3 linked regions of the Medicago truncatula genome follow. The protein of the gene in region 2 interacts with the protein of the main gene of each other region in a pairwise test. Links are inferred from orthologs where the notes say so. Each region holds a gene or a part of one and is shown on either strand. Other genes may lie near its edges.

Region 1 (7,415 bases), about 30 Mb from region 2:
TTTTATTAAATTTTATTCGTGTGTATAAAATTTCCAAGAAATAGAAAAAAAAATTCAAAGAAAAGGGTGCTAATAAAGTTCTCATATCGATGAGAATATATTTATGTATGATTATCATTTAACCTCTGTATTATAAAGGTATTTTTTTGTGAATATTATCATATTAACGGATATATTTTTTAAAATATTTTTGAACAAGGCTATCATCCTTATATTTCCAGAAAAGTTATTCCTACGAATAAATCTACAAAAATAATTGAACAAACTCCCCCTTAAAATATAACAAAAAAAATAAAATAAAAAAGAGTTGTCTAATATAGATACGATCCGAACTCCAAAGGTGGACTCTACTATTTTTAAGTATTTTTTAATAAGATATAATTTCAGATCTCGATTTTATATTTTTACAAATTTTTTTTTACTAAAAATAGTAAAGATTTACATTTAAATCATTTTTTAGAGGTCAATAATAGACACACTTCAAGAAAAAACATACTTGACATAGCATAATGAATGGCATATACTACTTTCAAAATTAAAACCCTAAACTTAATTTTCCATTAAAAAAATACCCTCAACATGTAAAAAAAAAACCTAAGTATATAAAAAAATCAATTCAGCTGCGACCAGGAAACAGTAGCATTAAGCAAGAGTTCCTTCCTTTAGATAAAATGCAAATCATTTCAGTTCTATACACACACAGGCCTTTAATAATAAGGAACCTTCAGCTTTAAGTAACCACGAGTTATGTCTTGGAATCATGTTCAACCAACATTATCAGAATATATCAAAACCTAGACCTATAAATAGTTAGTTAAACTCTAACATTATACACTGTCTTTTGTTGAGTACAAATCACTCTTTGAGTCTGTGTGTGTTTGTTTAGATACGGCACACATGCCAATAAGCATGCATATGTGTAATTATGTTTATATACAGAGATGGAAAAGAGGCACAGAAAGACAGAAAAGAAATCTAGATAGAGAGATATTACTATATAACTATAAATTGATCAATAAATATTTATATAGTTTCTCACGTCACTGTTGAATTTATTCCCAGAAAGAGAGTCGGCCAAACAAACTTTCCGGCCAACAATCAAACTGCATACACATTATTCTATTCTTATAATTACACACACACACACACACACACACATATATATATATATATATATATATATATATATATATATATATATATATATGCCTCTATACGTAACCAAAGCCAAACGTTATGATTATTCTTCACAACCTTTAGTCAACAATCCTAACAAACCTTTTTCCCTCTCACATGATCAATTTCCCCTATCAAACTTTACTCTATACTACCTAGCTATATATATATACGTCTTCACTCTTTAATTTATTTTTCCTCTTTTTTCTCTTTCTCTAAACTCATCATCAACTTATATAGTTACATACATATACTAATATAAAAAATACTTCTCCAATTTCATACACATACATAAATAATGGTAAGGTTGTTGTCTTATACAGAAGACATAGGTCATGAGTTCGAATTCTGAATTTTTTTTCTCTCTTTGGGAAGACAATCATCAACCCTATGCAAACTTCACTTGGTGAAACCTTGTGCAATATGGACTGTCCTTTTTATACATAGATAAAAATATTTAAGTATAATATAATTTAACCTAACTAATTAATCACTCACTAATTACCTCATGATGGTTAAAGCTTGATGAGCCATCACAAGCATGAACATGTGAATGTCCTCCGGCGTCAAATTGAACTCCGGCGGGTAAGTCCACTGTGGCAGCTGTTGTGGAAGTGAGTAGTAAATTTGGTGCAAAAGGCCAAACGTCACAACCGGAAGAAGGGGACAATAACAAAGCACTAGGAGTTGTAGAATTAATGCATTGTGATGAAAGTGGCAATTGAATGTGTTGTTGTTGTTGATTTTGAGGAGTGGATTGAAGCAACTTGATTTGTCTCTTCAAAAACTTAACATAACGAATGGCTTCATCAAGCATAGAAGCTGTATCCATTTTAGTTCCACCAGGAACAAGTCTTTGAAGGATACGAATCTTCTCACTGATTCTTTCTCTTCTATGTCTAGCTGCAACACTTTGTGGATCTTCGCTGATTCGAACGTTTCTTCGTTTTGGTTTTCGAATCGTTGCTGGGTCGATGTCCACCGGTTGCATAGCTGCAATCTTGTACATCATTTCCTTCATAGCTCCTAACTCTTCTTCTTGTTCTTCTACGTCTTCGATTCGATGGATCCCTAAGATGTCACTGAGTGAACCTGATGAAGATGGTGGTGGTGGTGGTGCCATGATCATGTTGCTGTAGTTATTTTGTGGCCAAATTACAGAAGAATTCATAGGAACTTGATGATGATCTTGTTGGAGAATAATACGGTTTTGTTCATTTGTTTCCATTTTTTCAAGATTCCAAGTGCTTGTGAATGCGCTACTAGTATTATTTTGGTTATTTTCCATGACCAAAAACAATTATATATATGAAAAATATGAAGTGTTAGGTTCTAATTTTGATGGATCTAGCTAGTTAGATGATCTTGTGTATCTTTATTGATTTAATACTTTAATTAGCTAAAATTCTACCAAAAAAAAAACTTTAATTAGCTAAAAGATAAGAGGGAATAAACAATAAAAAGGGGTTAATTTGAGATATTTGATCAACTTTTTTTTGAACAACAGAAGAAATGAATATTCAATAAAACGAATATAAATGATACTCAAACTCAAAAGACGATAAGAGAATGAGAGAAGAAGAGAATAAATTTTTGGATATGATCATATGAAATGAAACAACGCTACTTATAAATAATAGTTAACGCACACATGTGTGAAGAAGAGGAGATAATTAATGTGAAGGAGTAGAAATTAAGGAGATTGAGGTTAAAAATATATTACCTAGCTTGAAAGTTTTTTTTATTGTTGTATTGTATATGAAACGTTGAAGAAGGTTTTTGATGGTTGAAAAAGAGGGTAGAGGGTATAGAGGGGGCCCAAAAGGAAAGGAGAGAATTGAGAAAGAAAAGGGAAAGTAATTTATATATGTAGGAAGGGGTTTTTACTGAAAGGGGAGTCACTGCAAAAAGCATGTAGACAAATGAATGAAAAGAAAAGGTAGTGCATGGTGCAGTGCAGCAAATTAAAGTGGTTGAATTGAATTGAACGAATGTAGTTCTACAAAGTCATGAGATTGATCCATATACCTAGCTATAGCCCCTCCTATCCCAACTTCAAAAATACTAGTCTAGTTCAGTTCATAGTTATATTTTTAGACAATTTATTTTATTAAAATTTTTATTTCATTATAAATATATATGTAACGTCACACGATTAAATATGTGTTGACTAATTTATTTTAGACCTAATATTATCTAAATAAAAAACAGGCCTTTTAGTTAATCCAAAAGTAGACTTTTGTGACCTATCCAATAAATGTAGACGAAATTGAACTTTAATAAAATAATATTATTGTCTTGAAATATTTTGAAGTGTCATGTTAAGAGGTTTTTTTTAGGCTTAAATATGTATTTCATCCTTGCAATCAAGGGTCGTTTAAAAATTGGTCCCTGTATTCGTAATCCTTGCAAACTAGCCTTGCAATCATTAATCATTTAAAATTTCGTCCTTTGACCAACTTAATCACTGCCACATATAAAATTCCAATTTTGCCCTTAAGAAGAGGACAAAATATTGAAGAAAGAATTGGAAACTCAGGGGTAAAATTGGAATTTCATTTGTGATAGTGATTGCCACGTCGTCAAATTAGTGACGCGGCAGTGATTAAGTGGGGAGAGGGACGAAATTTTAAATGATTAAACAATGCAAGGGTAAATTGTCAGGATTAGCGATTACAGGGACCAATTTTTAAACGACCCCTAATTGCAAGGATGAAATACATATTTAAGCCGTTTTTTTTATAAGTGTTTACAAGAGCTTATGAAAATATTGTGATATATTTATACTTTTTTAATTGTAAAGAGGTCAAGTGACGGAAAGAGCAGCCTCAAGAAGGGCAAAGCCAAAGCAAAAAATACAATGAAACAAATCACGGAGAGAAAAAAAAAAAAACAAGAATACAACAATACAAGAGAACAAATACAAAGAAATACATGTCTACTTATAAAAATATAAAACATAAACAAATCCTATCAAGGCAAGCATAAGAAAGGTTTCACAGCTCACTCGTGAAAAAGTGCAAGAGGGCTCAAAAGAGGGAAATAAATATATGTATAAAAACATACATGGTTAGTTTTAATTAACTAACGTCTATGAATTGATAAATCAATTGTATTTTATTTTTTAAGGGAAATAAATATATGTATAAAAACATACATAGTGATAAGTTAGTCAAAAATCACGATTGTTAGATAAAATTAGACAATCCATACATATCAAACCAAATATATATTTATATGAATGATTTTCGTGTAGCAATTGGACTCATCAATGTGTACGACCATTAATCAAATATGCATCCATCTAATGAAAATAATAGAAATCGTTCTATCTTAATTAGTGTATTTATGCATATGCACTGCCTAGGTAGCTAACGGTGAAAATAGTAATTGAATTGGTTCCTCTCTCCAATTTGATGTTAGGTGCACTGAAATCCTAGGGCTGCTTCCCATTTATTGCCATTTTCATATGCCTTTTGCTCCTTGCTATAATTTAATTCGCTCCCCGTCTCCTTCACTCATTTTGGGATTGGTTGGATGGCGACTTCAAAATTTCGGTTTACAAACTCAAAAATCCAAGACCAATTTAAATGGCCAACTATTCATTAAATGAAATCCTTTATCGATAGTCGGTTAAATAGAGTTCTCTATGCATTTTCATGTAAATACAACTCAGTTGTTAACTATAAATGTGTTATATCAGTGTAGTTTTAAGTAGGTTAATTGATAACGGTAAGGACGTTGATATAGAGATGACAAGGTTGAAACTTTAAATTCCTCATTCCTTCACACTTAATATGTATCAGCTTAGATATTAAGTCACTTGATAAAAAAAAAAAATCCTATTTAAAGTAAAAAGGAATACTATATTTTTAATTAAAATATGCACGAAAAATTGCAAGAAAAAATATGTACGAAAATTACGATAATTTAGATATTTTTTTAAGTCAAATGAGATCGTATTTTTTATTAAGAAAATTATTTTGCTTCCCCTCATAGAAAATGATGGTTAGTTTGTACCTAAAAAAGGAGGTTTTTTCTACATTATCCTATCTTGTTTAGAGTGTATTTACCCTTTCAAGATATCAACCAATCAAAATGTAATATACAAAATGTAACATTAAATGTCAAATAAATGAGTCAATTTATTTTAAGCAAAATTACACTAAATGTCCTTTATTTTATTTATTTGTAACACATTAGTCCTTTATCTTTTCTTTGTCCCATTTAGATCCTTTATCAATTAAAATGTGCACAAGTTAATCCTTTTCTTCATTTTTCTATTAAAAAAACATGAAAATATTAATTTTATTAATAACTTTATTTTATAAAATATTTTTTAATAATTAAATTCAAAAACCCTATAAACATTTCATCCTCATATTCATCATCTTCATCTTCTTCCTTAAATCAAAAAAATTGTTCATCCAAATAAACCTTCAAATTCCTTAAATATTTTCACTTCCATCTTCTTCTAAACACAAAATTCAAAATCCCCAAATTTCATAAACCCTAATTTTACCAAACCGATAAATTTGGATTTTGGATTTAAAGAAAAAATCTCACAATTTGGATAGTAAACCTCTCATGTTTGAGTGCTCAAGCATAGTTTTAGTAAAGATCATCACAACTTAGATCTTGTAATTTTCTCATCGAATACAATTATTATTTTCCCTGTAGCTTTCCTATCTATGATGGTAGTGAAGGCGAGGTTGGCCTGCAACAATAAGAAATTGTTTATACCATTGTATAACACTAGTAAAAAATCCAAAAAGGTTAAGAATCTAAAAAGCTAAACAGCTAGCTCATATGCACAATCCTCGTCAAGCTCACATCAAACACCATTATAATCAAATTTCATAGAAATCAAGAACCCGATCGATACTTTGAATTCTTGGTTTCTTTCTTTAAATCTAAAATTCAGATTTATGGGTTTGGCAAACTTAGGGTTTATAAATTTGAGTATTTTTTCTTCAAAAAAAAAATTGAGTATTTTGAATTTTGTGTTTAGAAGAAGATGGAAGTGGAAATATTTAAGAAATTTGAAGGTTTATTGGATGGACAATTTTTTTGATATAAGGAAGAAGATGAAGATGATGAATATGAGGATGAAATATTCATAGGGTTTATGAATTTATTTATTATTATTTTTTTTTTTTAAAACAAAGTTATTAATAAAATTAATATTTTCATGTTTTTTTAATAGAAAAATTAAGAAAAGGATTAACTTGTGCACGTTTTAATAGATAAAGGACCTAAATGGAACAAAAAAAAAAGATAAAGGACTAATGTGTTACAAATAAATAAGATAAATGACCTTTAGTGTTATATGATGGGTTGAATTTGATGTGAAATTTTAATTGTTGCAAGACCTATAGTGTAAATTAATTAAGATTGAATACCTAAATATATAATTAAATTAAATGTTACCTTAGGATTAAAATTGATTTTTTTTTTATAGAAAAAATTGACTCATTTATTTGACATTTAATATTATATTTGTATATTACATTTTGATTGGTTGATATGAAAGGATAAAAATACCCCTAAACAAGAGAGGGTAATCTAGACCTAAAAAAAAGGGTGGTTAGTAGTAGTACTACCCAACAAAAGAATTGATTTGGTGCTAGCCTTTTTGAATTCCTATAGTTGCTAGAATAAATTACATGTAATTTACCAATTAATGACATATCTCTTTTTTTTTTAAGGGAGAACTAAAGAGATATCTCTTGTTATTCAGTCCAGTTCAAAAAACTATATGCAATAAATGTATCATCATTGAACATAGAACACAGTCCCCCTTTAATTTGATGCAACCCCTTTCTCCGTGGCTCAACAATTACGGTAATTTATTGATGTATAAGAAGACAATTCCGTCAGCAAGTCCTAGCTCAACTGGTAAAACGTCAAAATTGTTAGGCCGAACGTCATGATCAGGATTCGAACCTCAATACCTCCACTTGTGTATGAGTTTATAATGGCTTTGTCATTTCGTCTATCTACTATAAAAAAAACAAGAAGACAATTCCAAAGTCACAATTAATTTTGACATCACCCGCATGTGTCATACTAGTATTCTTGTATTAATTAATGTCATTGAATAATTTATTTCAATAGTATGAAATTACTACTACTTCAACACACAAGACGATTTGGAAATATCAAATACATTGGTGATCATTATATTAATCGTAAAATTAGCTCATCAGCAAATAATTAAGTTCGGATATATCGTGTTC
Region 2 (8,465 bases):
TGTTTAATTGTCACAAATGATAAATTATAAGGCTAAAAAGACACTTATTGACAACAAAAACCACCTTTCAAGCCTTATAAATGATAATTTATGACCATTAAATGCAGCGTCTTGACACCCTGGAGCTTTTAAAACACATCATTTTGATCCAAGTAAGCAATGGTTACATCAGCATCAATTAAATGAAGATTGACAACATAGATAACGCTGAAATATTTTATCAACTAAAATAACATATTTAAAATTTTTGAAACTTACTAATTTGAAAATTGTATCAAACTAAAAGGATAAAAAATGATATATAACTTAATAAAAATATGGGTCTCGTTAACGGTGCTCCCGAAACACTCTTTAAGCATTCCAAATTTAATAATTATTCTTTCAAAGAATCAACTATTACAATTTCTAATGCATTCATTACAAAACTTTTAATTAAAAATTTATTATTTAAAGTGCTTAAAAAACATCCCAAACACATCAGTTAACATTTTTTTTTAAAATATTACAGAAAAAATGATGAAAAGTGATAAAATATACTTTCAAAAATCAAAATGGTTGTTTCCCCTTTTCCCATGAGTCCTACAAGAAAGAAAGCTCTACAAAAGTGGCCAGCATAAGATACTCCGTTTATTCTCTTTCTCTCTCACACACTTCCACACACCCACATCAATTTTCCTTCACATTTTCTTGGGCCAGGCAAACAAAAGCCAATAAAAAGGCTTCGTAACATGTAACGTGGGTCCACACTAAACCCCCACGTGTCTAACCAAAAGTGATACCCCACCTGTCAACATTCCATCACTCGACACGTGTCTCATGGACTCACTTGTCCCAAGTAGGGACCACTTTGAAAATCACCTCTTTGAGAAGTGTGCAAAAAGGGTCCCGTTTTGGGTCCACCCATTAGGCCATTCCTCCCTTGGGTCCCTCACCCACCCTCACATGACCACAATAAGAGGTGGACCCATATCCATTTTCACCAATAAATAAACCAAAAAATAAAATAGAGATACGTACAACAAAATAATTAATAAAATTATCGATATTAACCTAAAAACGCGTAGATGATATATCACGAGTTTCTTTTAGTTTAATTAAATTCTAAGTTTGAATTGAGTCTTGACCATGCATCAACGTTAAAAATCGAAAGTCAAAATTTTTGGTTGATAAAGATCTTATAAAAACTTATTTCAAGCAATGCGCAAAATCCGGTATCAAGAACAATAGCTATGGGACCTGAAACTACTACTTAATCTAGAACCTACAAGATGATGCTCATGATTTCAATAACTATACTACTGATTTAGAGGAGATTTTCAAAAAAAAATCATCTATTTAAATTTTACAAGACTCAAAAAATTAGTCTCCACAGTTGCATGCACAAATGATATCTAATTTACACCAAAAAAATTACATAGTATTAATACATTCTTAAAGAACATTTTTGTAACTGATTTTAAGTAGTACACTAATTACATAACTTCAAGGGATACTAACTTAAAATCAAGAATAAAACCTTTATAAAACCATGAATAACGGTTATTTTTATTCTAATTTTAATTGATAATATTCTTATTACACATCCAAAAATTAAATTTTGGCAGCTGTAGAGTAGAATAATAACAGTACTACTAGTACCCCCCATTGCACGGTTCAAGAAGCCAGCACCACCAATACTGGGCCCCACATTCCCCCCACTTTTCTAGTTGACCCACACATACATGGACCCCACCATTTCCCCTTCCCCACTCACGTGCCCACGTGCTCTTCTCTTTTCAAACAACATCGTTAACCAAATTCAACGTTCTCTGGTTCTATGGTTCTATCAATGCTTCGAAGAAGACCTTGATAATAACTGAAGCTCTTGTCTATCATAAATCTCCAATGAAAAATCCCTTAACATCTGAGTAGTGGTTGTTGCCGCCGTGCTTGGAGCCATCACGGTGGCTCTAGCTGGAGACTTTGTTGAAGGAGATAAAGAACATGAAGCTTGTTGAACTTGAATAACTGGTGTAACCATGGAAGAAACAAAACCGGTTATTGGTCTAGCCAATGTAAAAAACTGTGGTTGATTTGTTGGAACAACGAAAAAAGTGTTTCCGTTTGGTACAACAGCGTTTGATGGTATAGCCCAAACAGGAACCATGTTTTGTGGTAACTGAATTGTGGGTTGTTGAGGAATTAGGTTTAGGTTTGTGTTTGTGTTTATGTTTGAGGTTGTTATTAAACCGGATGAAACAGAAACAGTGGTGTCGTTTATATCTACGTAAGCACTGTTTGATGGTCGTTTACGTTTCTTTTTCTCAGGTGATTCATCGGATTGTTGGTTTGGTTCTTGGTTAGGGTTTTTGGTTGGGGAAGTGGTGGGGATTTTTAGTGTTCCGTTGACTGACATGGCGATGGCTGGGACTGTGCCGGTACCGGTGGCGGCAATGATAGCTGGCTCCGCGTGTTCGAGGAGCCAGCGTATTGTTTCGCCATCGGACTTATGTCCGAGTTCTCGGGTCAGCTGAAAGATCCGAGCTGCACATGTGGCAGGCATTCGGATCCTTCGGCCTCGACCCTCGACTTTTGTGTGACGGTCTTTTGTAGATGATCTCTTTTGAATTGTTTGTTGGGCTTGAGCTTGAGCTTGGGCCTGGGTTTGAGCTTGAGCTTGGGCTTGGGCTTGAACCAAGGCTTTGTTCACTTGCATGGACATAGGTATCCCCGGTGGCACGTGCATGGTCATCGGCATAACTTTTATCGCCGATACATCTTCTATTTCCGGTTCTTCTTTCGGCTCTCCAAGAGTGAGATCAATGTTTGTAGAATTTTCTTTAGCCATGAATGAAGAAATTGAAGGTAATGGATAAGGAAGATGATTTAGATTTGGTATAGAATTTGAATGCGAGAATGAAAGTGTGTGAATATATATAGCACAAAGAGAGTGTTGAGATTGAATGAAGAGTGAAAGGGTTGTTATTAAATGTAGGACATAGAGGGAGGTAGTAACCAGTGATATAGAAGGATGGGACCCTTATGATACCGTCTTATATGATATTACATGGAAAGAAATCTACGGTGATCGCTATTGGACCCACTATGATAAGGACTAATCCATGTGATGGGTCCATTCTTATGGGGTTAATGTTAGGAGGGTTTTGGTCAATGTTATACACTTGTTTGGCAAACTACACAAAACAATTGTTAAAAAGAGAGTGAAGGATAGGAAGAGGATGAAAAGAAGAAAAAAAAATGAAGAAAAAGAGTATGGAACTTGATAAGATTCTTTCTTGCATGATTAATTGATGATGGCATGAACTATTTGAAGGATAAGGGAAATGATTCTTTTTTATGTAAATATTTTTTGTATATAGGTTTTTTTTATATTTGGATAAATCTTTTTTCTTATATGATCTCATGCATTTTTTATGATCTTGTATGTGTGAAAGTCAATATGGTATAGTTTTTGTGCGACACAATGGAGTTAAAAACATAATGCTACTTGTATAGTAAAAAAAGAAGAGGAGTGTTAGTTTTACATAAAAAACAGATTTTGCATAGCGTATGGAATACATTTAGAGTTATTTGCGATTTGATTTTTGTCAAGGTTTGGGGTTCGAACCCCGACCACCATTAAAAAGTGATTTGATTTTTGTCTTAGTTCGAATTGGATATCTTCTACGTCGAACAATTAATTAAGATGATTTGATATGCAAAGCAAAATAAAATAATATCAAAATATAATGTAGGGTAAATAGTCATAATGTGTAATGAATATTACAATAGTCTCTCAATTCGTCGAAATTTCCAAATATTATCTGACTGTGCAATATGTTAGTCAAAATAATCTCTGACATTAAAATGATCGGCTAAATCTAATATTGTCGTATCAATCCATATAGGTATTTACATTATGTTATACAATTTCTGTAAGAAAAGAGTTACTATGAGCATCAAAAAAAATAATTTCTAGGTCAGAGACTGTTTTAACTGACGGAATATACAATCAAAAACTATTTTAGAACTTCGATACACAGATTATTGTGACTATTCGTTACACATTTATAGACGAAAATGACTACTTACACTATAATGTACAAGAGAAAATCAAAATATAGTATCAAATGTCAAAATACATTTTTGAAAAAAAATTCACAATGTTCTTTTAATAGAAATAATTTAGGATAAAGGAATTATGCATCCGTTCAAAGTTATTTTTACCACCCGATCAATTCCAGGAATTAATAATATCTCACCTAACAACTTTGAATTATTTTTATAAATAACATTTCCATGTATAAATAGTTTTGCTTTTACATGAGTGAGATATTAATTTATTATATTATATTTTTTTTGAGAGAATTTATAATATTATATTTATCAAGCTAACAACTTTGAATTATTTTGTATAAATAGTTTTTGCTTTACATGAGTGAGATACTAATTTATACTTTTTTTTATCAAGCTAACAACTTTGAATTATTTTGATTAAATAGTCCCATGTATGAATGGTTTTTGCTTTAAATGAGTGAGATACTAATTTATACTTTTTTTATCAAGAAATGACACGTATACAACTTCTTACAAGATTGTTTTTTTGACACGAACTTCCTACAAGAAATTAAAGTATTGGCCATACATCTAAGGTTGAATGCATTTAATTGATCATACATCTAAGGAGAGTTTTGTTAAAGGATGTTCTTAACAAATTTGCTAGTATATTGCCATCTTAGGAGAATAATACTTTTGTCTCATAAATCGTGCACTTAAATTTTTTAAAGTATAAACATTTTTATTTTTGATATAAAAATATTACATTTAAATTTCGTAGCATGTACTGAAAGAACATAAATTAACAAAACCCTATATTTAATGGAAAGAAAAAGAAAAAACAAAAAATGGTCCATCGAGACTGATGATAGAACACGAAATATCACACACTTAGCCAAAACAGTAGAATATAATATATCAGAAAAACTGAAAATCATTATGAAAAAACAAAATTAAAAAGTAAGAAATTATAAGATAGCCCAAAAGATACATCAATGTGGGAATTCCCTTTGCCGTAAGAGATTAAGATAAGAAATGACATCATGTAGAAAATGATAAGGAAATTGTTGTGCTTTTAGACTAAGAAAGTTTAATGACAAACTACAACTTATATTCATTGGAAAGAAATCAAACAAAATAAAGAAAACAAAACATAATAGAAAAAAGACAGCATTGACAAAGATCTGAAATCGAAAAGTCACAATAGTCAATGTATCGAAAGCATGTTTTGTGTGCATGTGTGTGTATCTTTGTAGAAGAGTATACATCATAGGATACGTGAAAGAAATAGTGAATGATTCATATTTCAGATAGGTTTGCTTCAACAAATTATGATTTTGGGTTTTCAACAAAATGTTGAAGAATATTTTAGTTGAAAAATCATTGATTTTTTAAAACCACATAATTCTTAATGAAGATTATAAGAATAATTAACTGCAAATATTGATCTTAATATAAGGAAATTCGTCATTATTTTCAAAATATTTGGTTGACGTGTATATGGATCATTTGAAGGAGCATAACATGTGACTGATTTTTCAAAACAATGTGGTATCCACCGCTCAGATGTTCGGTATAAGATGAAACCCATTCTTTGTGGTAGGTTCGTAAACACTTTTGGAATTGTCATCTCAATGTTAAATGGGATCATAAGCAATTTTTAACAAAGTTGGATGAAAATGGATAACAATAAAAATACTTTATGATTTAAATGACTGATATTTTTTTTTTGGTGAAGATTTAAATGACTGATATGTTAGAAGAAAATAATTAAAGAAATAATTTCTAACAAAAAATAATTAAAAGATTAACTTATTACAAACATCTAACTTAAAATGATCACTGGGTATTTGACCTAATATATAAAAGATCCTTTTCAATTTTAATTTGAAGAATAACAAATTTGATGTAATTATTAAATATTAAAATTACCAACAATTTTAGTTTTTTTTTTTTCAAAAAATAAACAATTTTAGTTTTTTTTTTTTTTTGAATGAGCTTATGAGCTCAAAGTAAAATAAAAATTGGGCGAGAAAAAAAAGGCGAACTCACTTAAAATTATGAGTTTATCTAATTTCACTATTTTGTCCAAACTTTGATTAACACTAAGCTCGCATCTTGCTATTGAATGAGCTGATGTATTTGTTTTGGAAAATGTTAAATAAGACAATTGAACTTGTTTTTCTTACACAAGGGGGTAGATTTCGTGGTACTTAACTCAAACATGTTTCACCTCTTATGCTCGTACCATTTACTGGATTCTCAAAATTATATATAAACTCGTGATCTTTCATGAAACTAAAATTGACAAGAATTATCACATCCAATTACTCACATTGTATCAAAAGATTTAACAATCGGAGAATTTTTCTTGAAATCACTATCCTTAACCCAATCTCAAGTGAGCAGACTTCTAAGATCTCTATTAAAAAGTAATGTGGGGAATACTTTATTTTGGTATGATAATTGGTTGGGGATACACCTTTATGTTGTAAATTCCCCCGCCTTTTTTATTTGTCTGTGAGCAAGGAGTGTACGGTGGAGGATATGAGTAGGGAAGGTTGGGAGGTTGGAGGTGGGGGGTGGGCGTGGAGGCGAAGATTAATGGCGTGGGAGGAGGAAAGTGTGAAGGAATGTTCTATGTTACTTTCTAATGTCATTTTGCAGGTTAATGTTCATGATTCTTGGATTTGGTTGATAGATCCTTCCCGTGGTTACACGGTACGGGAAGCATATCGCTTTCTCACTGATAATGGTAACGCTGGGAATAGGACTCTGGTTGAAGATGTTTGGCATAAGAGCATACCCACTAAGGTGTCAGTATTTGTGTGGCGCCTTTTCCGAAATAGACTTCCTACTAGAGACAACTTGGTTCATCGGCGAGTTCTTCTGATAGCAGACTCGGTTTGTGTGTCAGGTTGCGGTGCTTATAAAACCACAAATCACTTGTTTTGCATCTGTAATATTTTTAGTACGCATTGGGATCATATTTTGCATTGGTTAGGCTTATTTGTGGTGTTTCCAGGTGATATTCGGCGGCATTTTACACAATTCTCTAATTTGGTCGGATTGCCTAGAGCCACTCATTATTTCCTGAAAGTAATCTGGTTCGCTTATGTTTGGGCTATTTGGAAGGAAAGAAATAACCATGTGTTCCAAGAAACGGTTTGTGATCCTTCTTCTTTAGCTGAAAAAGTGAAGCTGAACTCTTTTATGTGGCTGAAAGCATCGCATACATCTTTTATTTATTCTTATTATGACTGGTGGAAACACCCAATTCCTTGCATGGGTGTTATTGTGTAATTTTCTGTAACTTTTTTATGGTGCTCTTCTAAAATAGCACCTTACTACTGTATCTTGGTTAATCGGTTTACCTTTTGCATGTCTTGTGCACGGTAAATCGCCATTGTTCATAATATATATCTCATTTTAGTTTGTTAAAAAAAAGAGTAATGTGGGGCTTAAACTTTTTTAAAACAAATTATTATTAATAAATTATTTGTATCATCACCAACACATAGAATAACTATTTCAATAGCCTATAGGATAAACTCAAACTCCAATTCAAAACCAATTTGTTTTTTTTTTCTTTTACTATTATTATTACAAGAACAAGAACAATTTTGGATGGGACTAGGCTTAAAAGTGATAAATACTTGGTCCATAGCACAATTAAAACAAATAAATATGACCATAACTTTTTATTCTCACCTTGTCTTATTTCATACGTATACATGATGTAGAAAGTGATGGGTGGCTCCACTTTTATTTCTCCATGCACCCCCCTTTTGAGGGGCCAGCCAGGGTCTGAAGAAGGTTAGGATTGGGACCCTATATGTGTGTGGTGCGCACGCTAACAATGGGGCATACCCACATATAAAGGTAAGTGAGCCCCACCGTACGACTCACAATGTTGGTCCCACTTTTTTATCTGTCAATCCAACGGTTGATTTCTTTCCATGTGGGCCCATGCACAAAAATGAGGTCATGACCATGCTGGTTTTTTTGGTTAGGGTACCTCTCTATACCCTCACTTTTGTAAGTGGACCACAAAGGAAAAATTAAAAAATAGTGGTGGACCCTTTGCTAGGTCATGTGGGACCCACCATTATATTTTCACACTCTCCATTCATCCACCTATTGGTTTTTGGGTTGGATTGTGTAATTAGTTGGGACCCTCCAATTCAATGGCAAAATGGGTATTGACTATTGACTTAGACACATTTTTCTCAATTGGTCCCTACTTTGTTTGTGTAATTAATTGATATTTTTACCTCTTCTAATACTTACTTCTGGAAGGGGGACCTTTACTTGTGGGGCCTGTTACCTGCAACTTATGGTGTGTAGGGTGTCCCATCTACTATGTCCTACAAAGTGTTTTTTATTCAACAAAAAGTTTAATTATTTGTTAATTAGTTTTTATCCTACCA
Region 3 (8,520 bases), on a different chromosome or scaffold from region 2:
CAAATTTCCCTTATAAATACTCTTTAACACCACCTCCATTCTTCTACAACAATGTTTTTCCTTCATTGGTCTTTCATACAAAAGGCTACTTTGAAAATCCAATGATTGTAGGAATGATCAATGGGGATGGTGCCACACTGCAAAGAAGTGCGGCCTATCTGGATGCGAGGTTGGTCTGCTTGGGTGTAAGGTTGACCACCAAGATCTCTTTCACCCTAAAAAGGAAACAAACCTTATAATTTAACTTATAATAAAATAAAAATTTGTATCATCTTTGTTCCATTAATTTTGTTTATAATTATATTTATTTTATGTTTTTGTCATTTATAATTATGTCAATGAAATAATACACACCTCTCTTTCTTTTAAATACTGGGCAACACATATAGATTGATAGTTATTTTCAGATTATATAATCCGAACAAGGAGTATTTTTGAAAGAAAAGAAAAATAGGACATGTGAGAATGTGAGAAAATGATAGGGTAGGAAAAGTAATAGTCCTAACTTTTTGACAACACTCAAATTGGAAGCACAACTTGGTAGATTGTCAAACTGCACAATCAAGCTTCACATAACCCTGAGAAATGCAAAGTTGAAAACTACTAAACAAACATCAAGTTTTAATTAAACCCAAGTAAATACTAGATGCTACTGCCTACAAGCGAACAAACAAACAAACTAGGTTAACCATTCTGGAAGGGCAAGTAAAAAATTATTAAGGTTATCCCAAACCAAGTATATTTGATGAATTACACAAGACCACATCATGATAATAATGCTCACAGAACAGTCCCACAAGCTGGAGTTGTATGAAAAGCAGACTGTCTAGACGGACCTTCTTCGAGTAGTTTACGAGACAGAGTCGAGGGGCCAGCATCACCAATAGTTTCACCTAAACTCAGTTTTGACATGCCAACGAGTTCATCGACATTGATTGGGCTCTTGGAATGTACTGGGGTTGGCTTCACCACTTCATGTGTTTCTTTCTTAGGAGCCGGCTCAGGACTGTATCCAGACCAATAGGGAAGAGGAAAAGGGAAGAATGGAGAATAATATGCCGGATATACTACTGGGTAAGCCGACGCTTGTGCATTGCTGTCGGGCTTTAATGGGGCAGAGGCAGACTCTCCATCGTTTGAGTTTGTAGAATCCATCGATTCACATTCTTCATCGAGCGGAGGAGGAGCAGGCAAAGGGTTATTGCCTTCTGTTTCAGTTTGTAGTTGATTAGCTGACAAGAAGTCTTGCGGTACCATTGAAGTATCAGGTGCCTGCAAAATCAAAACAAAAATACAAGAAATCCAGAAAAATTAGAAGGTTCAGAAGGAAAAGGAAAAGTGAGGTTACATAATGCTTATATAAATTTCAAAAGAGAACCACATCAGAAAATGCAATGTTTTTCCTCCAAACTAAATACCAATATTTTAAAAATCAGTACCGACATCAAATTGGTGAGAAATACAGGTCATGGTTCAATGAACTAAATGACAAATAAAAAAAGTTTTTTAAGAAAAAGTATTAAAAAAAAAACGGTTGAACCAGCCACAGTTGAACTGCGGTTCAACCAGCCAGCTATATAATTGGATTCAAACCAACCAGGGAACTAGTTGGTTCCCTCTCAGCACAACCGGTTGGTTGGTTCAGTCCGGCTATTAAAACATTGCTAAATACCCTAGAGCCATGGTTCTATAAATATCTAACCCGAACATTATTAATACACAGAGAGGTCATCAACATCCAAAATGTCCAGGAAATGGACAATTTTCCCAAATGGAAAACAGTGTCGTGTACATGAGACTCACTGACTTAATTTTCAAAGTATCCATAAAAGGTCAAACAATATCGTTAAAGAAAGAAACACATTTGGATAATCTTATCAAATGGTAATGAACAGGTTATGTGGCATCAATTTCATTATATGCAACATAATGTAAAGGAAACACATTTTATGCAAATAGAATTTGGAAATAAGGGGACAAACATCATCTGCAACAATATCAAACAGGCTGGACCGTCTCTTTCGCCTAGACACATTGCTTTGCCTGATGAAATATTTTTGAGCGTGACTGGCCACTTGAGTAGGTGTCCTTGATATAACATAGTTCCTGGCAATTCCACGCCAATCACCTTTGCCCAGCTTGTTCAATCCAAGTAAAAACATTCTATGTTCCTCCTCAGTCCATGGAGTGCCTGAAAAAAATATATTAAAAATCAAAAGCTGACAAAAACAACACAAGAATTTTCCGTGATCCCCGTTGAAGCTGACTGTAATATGAACTTCAAATAGATAAAATTCAAATTCAGCTAAACAGTACTGGTCTGAAACCTAGTTAAATGAGTCAAAGGCTTTAGGCCCCCAAAAAATTATACCTAACATTGACTATTTGAATGTTTAAAAAATAAAGCTTTAAATGCTGGCAAAAATAGCCACAAATCTCATTTGAAGCAAAAAGGTCTATCTAAAGTTTGATCTAGGCCCTACTCACTCTTGGGATGGATCGGAAGCCAAACCTTGCACATAGTATTAGATTTAGGGGAGGAAATAAGCTAGCCATGTTGTCGTTTAAGAAATGTGACCCTATTCAGGGTTGTGTGTAATCTGATAAAACTTAAGAAATCATCATCAAAAAGACCATTTTTTTCTCTGTCTTGACCCTTCGGTTCCTACTTCCTAGGGGAAAGGGCCTCTGGTAATCCAGAGTTCGACCTAGACGAAAATAAAGCTTGGCCAAAGATTGTTTTAGTCATGATTCGAACTCAGGTTCTCCTGAATTATTCGTCTTTAAGTGAAAGCTCATTAGAGCCGAACTATATAGCTAGAAAGAGCATATTCTGCTATTGCTTGCAGATCATTAGGGGTGAAACAAGCTAGACAAGGTTTGTTAAACACCTGCCACAGCCTGGTATTTAATCTATCATCATAGACTTTTTTCAACGCGTTTATTTTTTTTTTTAATGTAAAATATAAAGCCTAGTTTAGATAGCTGAAACAGTGTAATATATGCATATTAATGGACCACATCCCCCATAATTAGAGACTAGAATACACAACACATCCAAGTTAAACAGACACCAACCCAATAGACACTAAATAAGTAAATATGAGTAATTTTGAAGCACATGAGAAACATTGTTTTTGAACCACATGGCCTAAGACTTGTATCTATCCATTTCTTAGACCAAAATTCAGATACAAAATTCATGAAACATTCCAATAATTCTCTCAAAAGAGACAATCACTAATAAAGTTAACACGTATCAGTACCTTTCTTGTCTAGTTACTCCTACAATTACACCAACCAAAAATCAAAAATATAAATATTTTTTTGTCATAATCGTAAATACAAACCAATCCAAAACAAGATCACATAATTAATCCAATATAGTTGAATTCATCTAGCTCAAAAAAAAAAAACAGAACAAAATTAAATTCCAAAAATTCACATGCAAGCAAAAGAGTTAAAAAGAAAAAGGTTTTAAGAAACAAACCCTTTTTTCTTTCACGGGAAGTAGAAGAAGAACCAGGAACAAAATCCTCAGAACCATAGCCATCAGCACCATGATCAGGGTTTTCACCAGGTGAACCAGGAGTATTTGACCCGGTATTCAAAAGTCCAGACCCGGACCCGCTATAGTGGCTAAGATTACCCATACTAGCACTTTTCCGGATCCCATCGGTTAATCTTACTCCAAACAGCTTCACACCACGATTTGGACAGGTTCTTGAGTTGTGCCCATTGTGGCTGCAATGAGAACAACGACGGGTCATGATTTCTGAACCGGATCGAAGGAGAGAGGTGAATTATCGGGTTTTGAAGATCCGAATCACAGGATCCGAGACATGAAATGAAATTGAAGGTTTTAAGGTTTTTGTTTTTTTTGGTTTATTTGAGTTTATTATTATGTTTGGTTTGGTCTCCCTCGGGTTTTGCTGCAGAGAGAAAGAGAAAGAGAGAAAGACCAACAACACAACACTATCCATTTATCTATCTTGTCGTGGATAAAGAGAGGTAAAGATAAGATGCTACGCGGTGTTTTTTTTATGATACGTGATCGTTTCTTTTTGACCGTAGATTTGTTTCTGATTGTTGACGTGGCGGAGGATTAGAAGTTGAGTATAGTGATTGGGTTGCTTTTTTTTCTTCATGCAAGTGATTGGGTTGCTTTCGATACAGTACTTATCATCATCAACTTGATGAAACAATTACGTACTACTTTTCTTCGAAAGTGAGAAAGATAATATTCAGAATTGCAATGAAAAAATGTAGATATATATATATATATATATATGGATATTTTTGGATTAAACATTTGTCTTGGGAATTTATTAATTGTAAAAATTATTTAACAACTTTCTCTTTATTCTTCTATTTCTTCTTTCTCGTTCATTAGAAATCTGTTTTATCCATTAAAAAAAAAAAACACACACTAAATATCATTTCCTAAACACCAAGAGTAGCCTAGTGAAAAACTAAAGCCTTGGTTGATAAGGCATCCCAAATGATGGTCTAAACTTAATTCTGAAATTAGGAACATATTTAGCAGGGATAATTCACGTGGGTATATACTTCCAAACCTGAAGGTTGAGTATATTCTTGTGCAAAATAGCATCTCTATCTTTTTTGGTACAAAAGAGGATTGTGAATGCTTATCCACCTTATTATTAGTTATCCCACTCCAAAGGTCGTTTTTACCACCATTTCTCCAATTACAGTATTTATTTTCAAAGCCCTACTAAGAAGATTTAAAAGCAAAGCCATCCATTGTTAAAAAAGAATTGAACACAATAGTACTTTGAGTTTAATTAGATACATATCTATCATTTAATTATTTAATGTCATGTCATATTTTCTGTTTTAATTATTTTAAAATAAAGTTAAATTTTGCCTGACCAAAAAAAAAAAAAAAAGGTTAAATTTTGAATGAATTTTGTCACGGAGTATCAATATCCAACCAAAGTTCAATGTGTTTATGAATAAAAATAAAAATAAAAGAGCAAAGCTATCCATGAAATCAGTGGTACCGAATATATTTAAGATGTGTCCAATGAAGTACTTATTGTTGACTCTGAGTTTGCGAATGTTATTTACTATAGTGATGCATTTTTTCAAATTTATATAAAAATACAACTCCCTCGATTCCTTTTTAAGTGTCATTTTAAAAAATTTCCACGAAAAATAGCAAAGTGTATTTTTGCACATTTTCTTCCTATTATACCCTCAATTTAATCCACCAATATATTTATATATTTTGGCACACACTTTATCTTTCTAATAAATTTAATATGTTATATTTTTTCATAACAAACATTTTTTTTTTAGATCGTAACAAACATTTGTTACTTACTATCTTTTTCTCCAACAATTTTTTTTACACACTCCTTCTCATAACAAACAATTGTCAATTTTCGAAATATTGTGCACAACTCTTTAATTAATTTAAGTCAATATAAAAATTATTCCAACTTCACATTAATAAAAAGCTAAGAAAAAAATTATCTGTCCTCAAACTTATTTAATCAAAATTAAGGCTTCAACTATGGCTTTAACCAATGCTAGATCCACACTGGATGAAGATAACTTAGTAGAGCATACAGAAAAGAGCAACAATGGTACGTGTACAATATTTATCTCTTTACATTTGTTTAAATCTGAAGATAACAAGAAACAAATTTTGTTTTAAAAAAAAAACTTAGTTTAAAAAAAAAAACTTTAGTTTTTCAAATATATAACATTAATTAATTTTATTAAAAAAGATAAGAGTAACCAAACAAAGAAAAAAATATGAGTAATTGACAAATCGTACCATTAAAATACCAAAATGCAGTTAAATAAGAACAAAAAATTAACCTTAAAATGACACTTAAAAAGAAACGGATGGAGTAAATGTTAAATATATCTAAATACATACAATCGAATAATGACTATGCGATTTTTTTTTTTGTTTTAAATTTATTTATTTTCTATGGTAGCTGGTCAAACAACTGACCTTCTGGAAAGTTCATGTGATACACCTCTTCTAACATTTTGTGCGGTTAAGCTACCAAATTTTGGGATGATTTATTTTTTAAAATGACTACATTTATTTAATGAAATATGACGATAAATTTAAAAGACACAATAACATAAATATAAGGAGGGGTTTCATCAACACAAACAAATTCACAAGAGACATAATAACCAATTTAGCTAAGAAATGAGCCGCTTGATTCGCAACACGGTAAATATTTAAAAAATTTAAAGTAATGATACTTGATGTTAGTCTTTTGCAATCTTCAACTATTGCACCCAGTGGCGGAGGCACATAGTGCTGAGGGGATGCACTTGCCAACCCTCAAAATTAAATTTTTTCACATATATCCCTATGTTTTTAGCACTTTGAACCTCCTCATATTTTTTCTTTGCACCAGCTGACCCAAACCACCATCACTCACTCATTTACACATTTTAACTTCTCTCTAAACTATCTTCTCTTAACTTAGAAAACCCTTCTTCCTCCACTTCCACCACACCGGCGGCAGAACCACCACCAAACTCCACCGCGCCACCACCCAACCCATTCTATCTTCACTCTCGCGACCTTTCAACTACCATCTACAATCACGTTTTAGTTCTCTCTCCATCTCAAAAATCAGTTGCAATAAATCACCACCGTCTCCACCTTATTTTGCCGTCCTCCGCCGTCGTGCAACCGCAAAGGGACATTCAAAAGCTTTCAAAGACATTGAATCTACCACCAAGGTAATCAATTAAAAATCTTTGGTTTAGGGTTTTGAAATTTGGATTTTTTTTTTAGATGACTTCAATTGTGATAAATTGGTTGATTGAATATGCAATTGAGGGTCCTAATGATATGTCTGTGTTGTGAAATTGATTGGAGAATTGTTTTAAAGTGGCAATTTAACACTCATGGTTTTTTTGTTGTAAATGGTTCGCTTCAGATTTTTTAGTATCTGTTCAATTTGTTCAAAATGCAAAAAAACATATGAATCCTACTAATTTATCATGTTATTCTATTTGTTCAACTTGTGTGTTTCATTTCCATGTTGCTTTGTTTGAATCATGGTGAATGAGCTTCTGTTTTGATTTTTAAACCAAGAAACTAATATGAATCCTACTAATTTGTTTGAATCATGTTATTCTACTTTGTTTGAATCCTACTAATTTATCATGTTTCATTATAATAGTGAGTGAGCTTCTGTGTGACATTGTTTTACTCTAATGGGGATGGATGGTAAGAAAGGAGTGGTAGCACTAGATGAAAATGTGAAAGAATGTTGTTTTTTATTTCATACTCATTGAATCTTAAAGTTTGTTATTGTGTTTGGTGAACTTGATATTGATGTATAGTTCTATAACTGATGTTCTTGAAATGTTGAGAGATGATGTATCAATTAAAGATGGAAGAGGTGAAGCAAAAGGTCTTTTAATTCTCATGAATACTTTTGATTTTGCACTCACATTGCATTTAATGAAAAAGGTCTTAGGTTTTTCAAATGAATTGTCACAAGCATTGCAAAGGAAAGATCAAGACATCGTCAATGCTATGAACCTAATTAGCATCACAAAGGAGCGATTACAAGCTCTAAGAGATGATGGATGGGAACCTTTATTGGAGGAGGTAATTTTATTTGGCAATAAGCATGACATTAACATTCCAAGCATGGATGATATATTCTTCCGTGGAAAGTCAATACGTGGAGGTAACGCTGAATCTATCACAATAGGGAATCATTACCGCATTGAATTATTTTATACGGTTGTGGACATGCAACTTCAAGAACTTAATGATCGTTTTAATGAGACAAATAGTCGGTTGCTCATTTGTATGGAGAGTATGTGCCCAAACAACTCGTTCTCTAAATTTGACAAAGCAAAGTTGATTGAATTTGCAAAGTTTTATCCAATTGAATTTTCTCCAACTTCATTGGTGTTGCTTGATAGTCAACTTGACACTTACATCTTTGATATGCGTAGGAGTGTTGAATTTGCATCTTTGAAAGGAATAAGTGATCTTTCAAAAAAAAAATGGTTGCACTCAAAAAACATATTGATTATCCTTTAGTCTATGGACTTTTGAAGTTAGCAATGATTTTGCCCGTTGCCACATCAACCGTTGAACGAGCCTTTTCTGCTATGAAGATTGTGAAGTCTAGATTGCGTAATCGAATGGGAGATGATTGGATGAATGATTGTCTCGTGACTTATATTGAGAGAGATGTGGCGGACAAAATTGATGATGAGTTGATTATTCAACGATTTCAGAAGATGGCACCGCGTAAGGGACATTTGTAAAGAATGGATGAAGTTTTTTGAGTACATTGTAAATTGAATACAATGTAATTTTTTAGATATATATTATTATATTTATTATAAATTAAAGTTTAAAATTTTGAACCTCCTGACCCTGGGTCCCGGCAACGCCACTGATTGCACCTATATTATAAATAAATAAAGTAAAGAAAAGAGAATAAGAGCTTATACTCGGCAATGTCAATGACTCGTTATTACCTCTAATTT

What was found. The genes of interacting proteins can lie anywhere in the genome.
Region 1: the proteins of transcription factor TCP9 (region 2) and transcription factor HEC3 interact in binary tests that used the Arabidopsis thaliana proteins (3 or more experiments, as listed by UniProt). The link is inferred for Medicago truncatula from reciprocal best matches to the Arabidopsis thaliana genes TCP9 and HEC3.
Region 3: the proteins of transcription factor TCP9 (region 2) and transcription factor KUA1 interact in binary tests that used the Arabidopsis thaliana proteins (3 or more experiments, as listed by UniProt). The link is inferred for Medicago truncatula from reciprocal best matches to the Arabidopsis thaliana genes TCP9 and AT5G47390.

The regions. Positions count from the first base shown.
Region 1 is NC_053049.1:43,198,971-43,206,385, reverse strand, and holds transcription factor HEC3, read right to left. Parts: upstream 2,536-7,415; 5' UTR 2,465-2,535; coding exon 1,667-2,464; 3' UTR 1,469-1,666; downstream 1-1,468. UniProt on the Arabidopsis thaliana protein: Required for the female reproductive tract development and fertility.
Region 2 is NC_053049.1:13,107,717-13,116,181, reverse strand, and holds transcription factor TCP9, read right to left. Parts: upstream 2,974-8,465; 5' UTR 2,828-2,973; coding exon 1,826-2,827; 3' UTR 1,396-1,825; downstream 1-1,395. Other genes in the region: uncharacterized protein, read left to right, coding at 6,640-6,952, 7,061-7,338.
Region 3 is NC_053045.1:49,443,294-49,451,813, reverse strand, and holds transcription factor KUA1, read right to left. Parts: upstream 3,969-8,520; 5' UTR 3,771-3,968; coding exon 3,491-3,770; intron 2,192-3,490; coding exon 1,983-2,191; intron 1,273-1,982; coding exon 781-1,272; 3' UTR 469-780; downstream 1-468. Other genes in the region: uncharacterized protein, read left to right, coding at 7,383-7,409, 7,481-8,065. UniProt on the Arabidopsis thaliana protein: Transcriptional repressor. Direct regulator of the transcription of peroxidase (Prxs) and reactive oxygen species (ROS)-related genes via the recognition of 5'-ATCACA-3' motif.